Daphnia pulex: one gene and its partner. The protein of the gene in region 2 purifies or fractionates together with the protein of the main gene of each other region. This does not show direct contact. Links are inferred from orthologs where the notes say so. Each region holds a gene or a part of one and is shown on either strand. Other genes may lie near its edges.

What was found.
Region 1: the proteins of Y-box factor homolog (region 2) and ATP-dependent RNA helicase me31b-like purify together in Drosophila melanogaster (affinity purification with western blotting; 3 studies listed by BioGRID, with this or other methods). This does not show direct contact. The link is inferred for Daphnia pulex from reciprocal best matches to the Drosophila melanogaster genes yps and me31B.

Annotation. Positions count from the first base shown.
Region 1 is NC_060018.1:12,397,490-12,401,576, forward strand, and holds ATP-dependent RNA helicase me31b-like, read right to left. Parts: upstream 2,810-4,087; coding exon 2,715-2,809; intron 2,652-2,714; coding exon 2,579-2,651; intron 2,517-2,578; coding exon 2,282-2,516; intron 2,224-2,281; coding exon 2,080-2,223; intron 2,022-2,079; coding exon 1,927-2,021; intron 1,867-1,926; coding exon 1,744-1,866; intron 1,687-1,743; coding exon 1,558-1,686; intron 1,398-1,557; coding exon 1,217-1,397; intron 1,048-1,216; coding exon 836-1,047; intron 772-835; coding exon 706-771; downstream 1-705. UniProt on the Drosophila melanogaster protein: ATP-dependent RNA helicase which is a core component of a variety of ribonucleoprotein complexes (RNPs) that play critical roles in translational repression and mRNA decapping during embryogenesis, oogenesis, neurogenesis and neurotransmission.
Region 2 is NC_060017.1:4,193,557-4,198,137, forward strand, and holds the start of Y-box factor homolog, read left to right. Parts: upstream 1-1,715; 5' UTR 1,716-2,111; coding exon 2,112-2,172; intron 2,173-2,379; coding exon 2,380-2,443; intron 2,444-2,569; coding exon 2,570-2,603; intron 2,604-2,664; coding exon 2,665-2,802; intron 2,803-2,865; coding exon 2,866-2,998; intron 2,999-3,056; coding exon 3,057-3,265; intron 3,266-3,330; coding exon 3,331-3,612; intron 3,613-3,677; coding exon 3,678-3,725; 3' UTR 3,726-4,581. Other genes in the region: E3 ubiquitin-protein ligase UBR3-like, read left to right, coding at 58-175.

The DNA of each region.
Region 1 (4,087 bases), on a different chromosome or scaffold from region 2:
AAAATTCCATCCAAACGCAGTTGGGCGAGAATTTTGGTACGATACATGTTAACAAATATACAATTCACATTCAGGTAGTGGGTCGGCTAGATTATGTATATAAAATGTAACGGGCGGCTTTCAAGTCTTATATCGGTGAAACTTTCCTCGACGAGGGAGCCATTGTAACATCACCAGTGGACTGCTTTTGGGAGCGAGATTCTTCCATTCCAAAAGCAATGCAAAGTGTACCAAGCTGACCCCCCCAAACTTCATTTCACATACTTACTCCCTGACGGAATCTCATCTTTTACGGAACCTGCCGCCCTAACGCTTTAGCCTTCGACGTTCACACATCCATTCACGCAAAACATTGTACCCAAAAAAACAAAACAAAAACTTTTCTCCTAAACTGAAAAAAAAACTGGCTCTTCGCCACCGTGAGAATTTACATATTTACAACAGTCTTTCGATAGCGCATGCTTAAAGTTATCCTTGTTTTTACTCTTGTACAATGGTTTTTTTCCCTACATGCTGCAGCACTCCTCCAATTGCTAATGAGTGCTTTTCATTAATTCTGATCTTCAATACATTGGTCCCAGTGAACGACCTTTCATAAATTTCACTTACAGGATTCATTTTCTTTTCTTTTTTCTCAATTTTTTTTTGTGTCCTATCATGACGTTGTGTGATGCATGCGCTTTTCGAAGACATTCTCTCGCCTTTTTACTTTCCTGATTGCTCCTCGGAATCTTCTTGGAACTCGGCCACGTAGAGGGATTTGTCAATGACCTTCATTGAAAAAATAAAACAATGTAAATACAATGAATACTTGCACGAGATATCCAAGACTAACCTTAGGAATGGGCTTGATTTCAGTGCTAAGTTCACTCTCAATGCGATGCAGGGCGAAACGATCTTCATAAGTAATCAGATTGATAGCAATACCCAGGTGTCCAAACCGACCCGAACGACCAATCCTGTGCAGGTAAGTTTCAGCCATCTTGGGAAAGTCGAAGTTGATGACCACGTTCACAGCTTGAATGTCAATACCACGAGTGAACAAATCTGTTATAAAAACGCAAAAGATTAGTTTCAACATCCTTTTCTCTTCTTGGCTTCACATTATTAAATGAATCAGATGTTGATTTTCTTTCAGACGAAAGAAGGGGAATCCAACAAAAAGTTCATCATAACAGTCGAGCACTTAACATTACAAAGATGAAGCAAATCTTACCGGAGCACACGAGGTTACGGCACAGCCCATTACGGAAATCATGGAAGACGCGGTTTCTGTGAGCTTGCTGCATACGGGCATGAATGTAATAGCACGAGTAGCCCAGCTCAGTGATCTTCTTAGCCAAAAGTTCCACACGTTGAGTGGAGTTGCAGAAGATAATACTTTGATTGATCTGCAACTATAATATCAACACAGATATTAATATCGTGACTTTAAAACACAGCAGTTAAAATTAATTCAAGTAAAATCAGGTGTTGATTTTCTCTCAGACGAGAGAAGGGGAATCCAACAATAACTCATCAGTCTTATACTGAAAATCTAAATAAACCTTTACTTACTTTAGAAAACAGCGTATTGAGGCAGTGCACTTTTTGCCGTTCTTGGACAAAAGCGTAGTATTGCGTGACACCTTTCAGTGTTAGTTCTTCCATCAAATTGATTTCATATGGGTTATCAATGTGTTTCCTCTGTGGATACAATCATTGTTAAATCAAGAACCAAATTACAAGAACCAATAAACCTACCATAAACTCCTCGACAGTTACAGGGAAAGTTGCCGAATAAAGCAAAATTTGGCGCTTGGCTGGTAGGAACGAAATTATACGATCCAACATTCCCATGAAGTCTTGAGAGAGCAGTTTGTCAGCCTAGTTACACAAAAGAATAAGAACAATCGTCTAACAGAACTCTTAATAATTCCCACATACCTCATCCAAAACAAGGACCTTACAACGGTCCATTACCGCAATCTTCTTTTCCATCAGATCCAAAACACGACCAGGAGTGGCAATCACAACATGAACTGGAAGAAACAATGATTGTTAAAACTTGCATGGAAGTAAACAAGGAATAATGAATACCTTTTCCAAAGATCCTCATAATGTCATCTTTCAGGTCAGTACCACCAGTAGTCACCATGATACGAATATCCAAATGTTTAGCTAGTTCAATGCAGATTTGGCTTGTTTGCAATGCCAGTTCACGTGTTGGCACAACAATTAATGCTACAAAGAAAAAAAAATTAGGCCCAGAACTGTAAGAAAAACTTAAACTTGTCAGTACCTTGGATGTGTTGCTCAGACGGAACTACTTGTTCCAATACTGGTATACAATAAGCACCTGTTTTTCCAGTTCCATTCTTAGCACGAGCCAGGATATTACGCCCAGTCAGAGCCATAGGAATTCCAACCTCTTGAATGGGTGAAGGTGTCTCCCATCCCTTTTCAAAGATACCCATCAACAATTCACGCTTCAGACAAAAGTCTTCAAAACTTGTTCCCTTAGTGTTGGTAACATCCTGAAATTAAACCAAAAATTTAACCCCCAACTCTCATAGATGTTTGAATGAAAGAATATTACGCTAGTCTGTTTTCTACGATCCTTGGGTGGGATCTTCAACTGAGACTTCCAGAAATTGTCAGAGTTATTCTCTCTAAAATATTAACAAAAACAGTCATGAAATACGAACAAAGAACACATGATTTTTAAGACTTACTGCTTCGCAATTAGCGGCTGAGGACTGGGTCTCATCGGCGAAAGGGCATGATTGTTGGCCACTAAGCTTGGCTGACTAGCAACGGCTTCTGCCATGGTTTTCTCTTCTTTTCTTTTTCTTCTTACTTAACAAAACTTTCGAGCAAAATGCCGAATTCCTTCTTCAACAACGATCACTTGAACTTAAGTTTCTCCAACGAAGGCGAACGATTTCTGCAAACGAAAATAACGTGAAACCAAAGAAGCAGGAACTATGGCTTCAGTCTTCTGTGCACATACAAACGTCGCTTACTAAACCTGAAATAAAATGAGAAAAATCGAATCTGTCAATGGCGGTAAGTCAACAGAATCGGCGTCCATATACACAAAGACTTTTGATCGTGTAACACTGAAGCATTCAATTTCGAATAAAATAAATCTCAGCAAATGACAAACTGACCTAGTAGACCAGTAGTTGAGATATAATAGACAAGTTTTTAAACACGAGCAAGGATGTCAACGGATAAAGAATTGGTTTATCTGAGAAACAGTGTTCACTATGGCGCTCTACGCATCGAAAGCAAAGCAGCGACTGTTTGTGAGTGAGTCAGTCCACAGATAGGGGGAGGGTCGTGACAAACAAGTTAGAGCAAGCAAAACAAAACTTGGATAATATTCAACAATTGACATCACTCAAAATGAAGAAATTAAGAGAAGAAAATATACCAACCTTACGAAGATGTTGACTAAATTGGAAAATAATTAACAAGTGTGTCAATGTTCGGGAACAATGTCTATCTATTTTGCGCGAGAGTCGAAAGGGATCTGAGTAGAGATAGTAGTCGAAGTCTCTGTTTAGTCCTCCTGGTGGCGGTTAGAGGTAATGAAACATCCCTTCAGGGCTTACTCGTGCCTGGCTTAAGGGGGGAGGCGGGAGGATAGGTATATTGAGTTCCACGTCGCCAAATTGTAGAGCATCTAGGGAATTTCAATTATATTAATTCGATAATTTTTATTATTTATTAAATGAATGAAGATCAGGTGTTGTTTAAAAATATCGTTTATTATTTAATTCTCTATCAATAAAAAAAGGCACGTCATAGGGACTAGGCGTGAGTTAATAATCTATAAAATTGCTGCACATCGTGGAGTTAGTAGAAATGCAATAGAAATTGAAGAAACGCATGTGATTGAAACACTCTTTACAAATTGTATAATAGCTTTCCCACAATTCATTAATAGTGGTATGTTATGAAAAAAAGCAAGCAAATAATGGTTGGTGATCATATGAATTGCCTAAGTATCACAAAAATGGAGGAACATGTTGATTGGCTTGTTCATCTTTCAACAATTGAATCAAAGGCCGAATGCATCGTGTGTGTGTGTGTGTTTTAA
Region 2 (4,581 bases):
TATTTTTATTTTAATGTTGTAGAGAAAACTAAACCTTACACATAATTTAACTTTTAGGCGTGGAAAACCGTTGTATTTAAGTAAGGAACGTTACGCATTGCTACAAAGCCAATGGTTATCCCATCGGTTTGATCACACCAGCAAGAAATGGATTTGGCACCGCGATGTATTGTAAAGTAAAATTAGTTTCACTTCACTGAAAACGTCGGAATCTCTCATGATACACTGTTGCGGACACTTACTGATGCACTGAGTGAGTTTTTCTTCATTTAACTTTTAATAATATAATTGAAAATCACTTGTACTGTAGATACAATTTCATTTATACCCTAATTTATTCTGTAAACGTTTGTTGCTGAGCTTATTTTTTCTTTGGTTTTTCAATCTTAAGTTTTTTTCTTTTTCTTCTTTTGCTGTAAAGATGTATGAGACTAATTAGCTTGCGCACAGTTCGAAAATATTGAGTAATCAGTTGAGCATCGATGTGTCATTTTCATTACAACCTTCATCAAGTGAAATCAGACCTTTTGTGCCTTTAACATTAACTTCTCAGCCGAAGGTTTCTTTTGCAATGTTTTTGCCTTGATCGTCCATAAAATTTCTTCAAAGTACACTATCCAATTTTAAATGATTCAACTCGGCATTTTTTGTTGAGGAAAGAATGTGAAATGAGGTGACGTATGAAACAGCCCTATTTTACGAAAAAAACCTAAGAAAAATTTGTTTTAGCCACTATTGCGTTGATCTTTTTTTCTCCCTCATTCTATTTTACACGCTATATAATAAGACACTGGAATGTTATTGGTAATATTTCCCATTTCCTCGCCGATGAATGTAAAAATGGAAAATTGTAATTAAGTAAAAAAAAAAAACAAACAAACAAGTATTGCCCTGCGAATACCTTGGCATTATAATGTATCATGTATCACACACACCAACACGTGAGGATAACAGAAACTAGCTACGATGCGATTGCAGTTTGGCATCTGCCACCAAGTCTTTTGTTAAATTTCTCAATTATCATGCTTATATTCGCTTTTGACGTACAGTGTTCCTTAAAAGGTTTGTCGTTCGAATTCAATATCAATAAAGAATTTGACGATTTCAAGTGATGAGTGTAATTTTATTGTTCTAGTTAAATAACAGTTTAGTTATAAGAACTTAATTCATTTCTTATTTTAATCAGGGAAGATTCTTGCACTAGAAAGTAAAATTTGTGTCATAGAAATATAAATATTACAAAACCCTTAGTGAATTGCGTAATCTGTGCATTTCTAAGCAGTTTGCCATCAGCATTACTTTAACCATTATGATATATGATATTATTAAAATGATAAAAAAAAATTTGAACAAAACATAATTGAATTTGAATATATTGTGCCTTTTCACCTTGGGCTTGGGGCGTGCCTTTGCTTCCTAAAATATGAAAAAAAAAATAATCTAATTTTGAACCGAAGCCGAAACGCCATCTCTAGAGCTCACCAAGCGTATAACAGGCTTTCCAATCCATCCAATGGAAAAAGAGTACCCCCGTTAGGCCGTTACTTCCCTTTGTCGCCCTTTATGTACTTCATCATGCTGAAATAATAAAAGCAATAAAATAAAGAAATAGTGGAGAGAAAAAATACGGAAACTTACATTCAACTTCTTTCAAAATTATAGTAATTCTAAATTTTACTTCAATAGATTTAAGACTTCATTTTCAATTGTAGTAAAAACCTAACTTGGCCTGTCTTTAGGTTTATCTTGCCAGTCTAGGAAAAACCAAATTTTGTTATTTCAAGATAAAAATAAATGTACGTAGAATTCGTAATCGGTAAATGAAAAATCAATCATAAATCTTAGAATGCTTCGAAACTTTTGATAATATTTCAAGAAATGAATAAGATACAAAAAAGAATGCTTTATACTATCGCCGAATCGCGCATTAGAATTGCACTATCTATCGATAGTTTTGATGCTAGTGAGTTAGCGTGGACTTCTGCAGAAGTGGCACCACTGTAGAGCGTCTGCAGAAACAGAAGAACGACTGATAGATCAAAAGGAAGGGCGTGCAGTGCTACCATCAAGGAGTGTGGGTCCTTTTACCATCTTTAGCCAATTTAAACATCATGGCCGACCCGGAAAACCAGCCCGAACAGCAGAAGGCTGCCCCGGAAAAGCAAGTCATTGGTAAGACATTGTAGAATTAAGTAATTGTGATTTCATAAAAATAAAATGGCCCGCACCGGCGTGGTGCGAACACATCATGGAGGACGCTTCGGTTTACGATAGCCGCCATGACGATGCTATGCCAATAGCTTGCAATAGTGTTTTGTTTTTCGGCTTGACGATTTTCTTTAGTTGGGTTAGTAATAATAATTTATCTTTCTTTTTCAGCTACCAAAGTGACGGGCGTGGTCAAATGGTTCAATGTGAAGAGTGGATATGGCTTCATCAATCGGTAAAAAAAAAGTTTATAATCCTTTTGGAAAAATTATATGTTTTCATGATCCTGCATTTAAGATATTTATGGAAATTTAGAACTTCCGAGACAAAGTTTATTAATTTATTATGTTTTTTTTTTCAGCAATGACACCAAAGAAGACATCTTTGTCCACCAGGTATTTATTTTTTAATCAAGTCTTTTATGCTCAAGTACATAATTGCTGACTTTTCTTGCAGACGGCCATTTCCCGTAACAACCCCAGGAAAGCTGTTAGAAGTGTTGGGGATGGAGAAATTGTCGAGTTTGATGTGGTTGTTGGTGAGAAGGGCCATGAAGCAGCTAATGTTACTGGGCCAGAAGGTGAACCAGTAAAGGTAATAATTCAAAATTTCGAGTGTTTTAAATAGCACTTGGTATAATTTTCTTTTCTTTCATAGGGTTCTCCATATGCTGCCGATCGGCGTGGTCCTGGTGGGTACGGCTACCGTAGACGTGGAGCTGGGGGTACTGGTGGGTTAGGTAGTGGGTATCGACGCAGGCCAAGAGGATCACGTCGTGAAGGAGATGAGGGTAACACAATGCAAATCTCAAGTTAAAGGAATTTTTCTTAAAACTTTCCACTTTATAGAAGGTAAAGATCATTCGGAAGAACGCGGAGAGGGAGATGAAGAGAATGATGAATCAAATGCTCCACGAGAAGGTTCTTCTCGTGGACGTTTCCGTGGCCGTTATCGTGGAGTAAGCTACCGTCCTCGATATTTTAATCGTCCCCGTAAGAACACAGAAGGCGAAGAAGTTTCTGGTGACAAGTCTCATATGGATGGCGATGCTGATCAAGTAAATGATTTCTTTTTATCCCTTATGTGCGAAACGTAAGATTCTAATATTTTTTTGTGTTAAAGGAGGGTGGAGAAGAAAACAAATCTCGTGGTTCTCGTGGAGGTCTTCGTGATGGTGTCCGAGGAAGTGGTCGTCCTCGGGCTCGCGCTCGCGCTCGTGGCTACTACGGACGTGGACGTGGAGCACGTTCCGATCAAGGAGTTGGACAAGAATCATCCGAAGGAGTTCAAGAAGACGGCTCTGGCGACATTCGTGGGGGGTATCGCGGACGTCCTTTCAGAGGTCGACGTGGCGGACGCAGCCGTGGTGCCAGACCACGCTCCGGAGAGGGAATTGAAGGAAAGGTCAGTATTTTACGAAACTTTTTTTTTAGCTGCAGATAACTTACACACAAAATTTTTATTTTCAGGTTGAAGGGCAGTCTATGAATGCCACTAGTAATGAGAGCAACGCGTAAATTCATGATGACTCAAGAAGGGAGCGTACGCATAGGGTGGGGAATGATGGGGAATCGGACGGGAATTTAATCATCCCTGGCTTATTCCTCTACATTTTGTTTTTGTCTCGATACCAAGACGTCATTGTTGGGTGACACTTAGCGTTTCTTTTCTTGGTCGTCCTTCTCCACCTAAAATTACAAATAATGACTAGAATTGTTAACTCTAGCGTAAAACAAGAGGGAATTGTCTTAATTTAATTTTGATTGGAAAATTCGTCGGTTGTAAGCGGGTCGAAACGATATTTTTTTTTTCTTTATTATCGTGTAAAGGACCTGAGCTATGGCTTTACATCCCTCCGCATTGCTCTCGTCAACACGTGTGCTTGATTACGAACCATTTGTGCAGAAAATGTGTAGCCAAACCTTTGTGCTCGATCTCGGTCTTAATACTTTTCCATCCCGTTTTTTTTTGTCCCGAGTTTTGAATCTGTTTTCAATAATTTTGGGTTATAGGAAAATTACTGCAACCACATGTAATATTTAGTCAGTTAACTAAGTACAAAATTTGCGCGCCTTAAAGAAAGTGCTGCCGTTTTTTGTTATTTGACCATTTTTTATGTTAAATTTCTTTACCAGCTCTTAAATTTAAACGGGATTTAAGTAATTGACCAAGATCGAGGCAATTGTTCGTCTATGAAACTTCTGTTCCTCGAGACGAATCGCTCACTTTTTTTTTTCATTCTATAAATCTGTTGGTTGAAATCTGAATTTGATTTTGTGAAACCTCAAGCTTTGACAGCAAAGTGTTTTGGTAGATTTGTTCAACTGCATTGTGTGGGAAAATAGTTTTTCCGCTTCGATGAGTCAGACACGT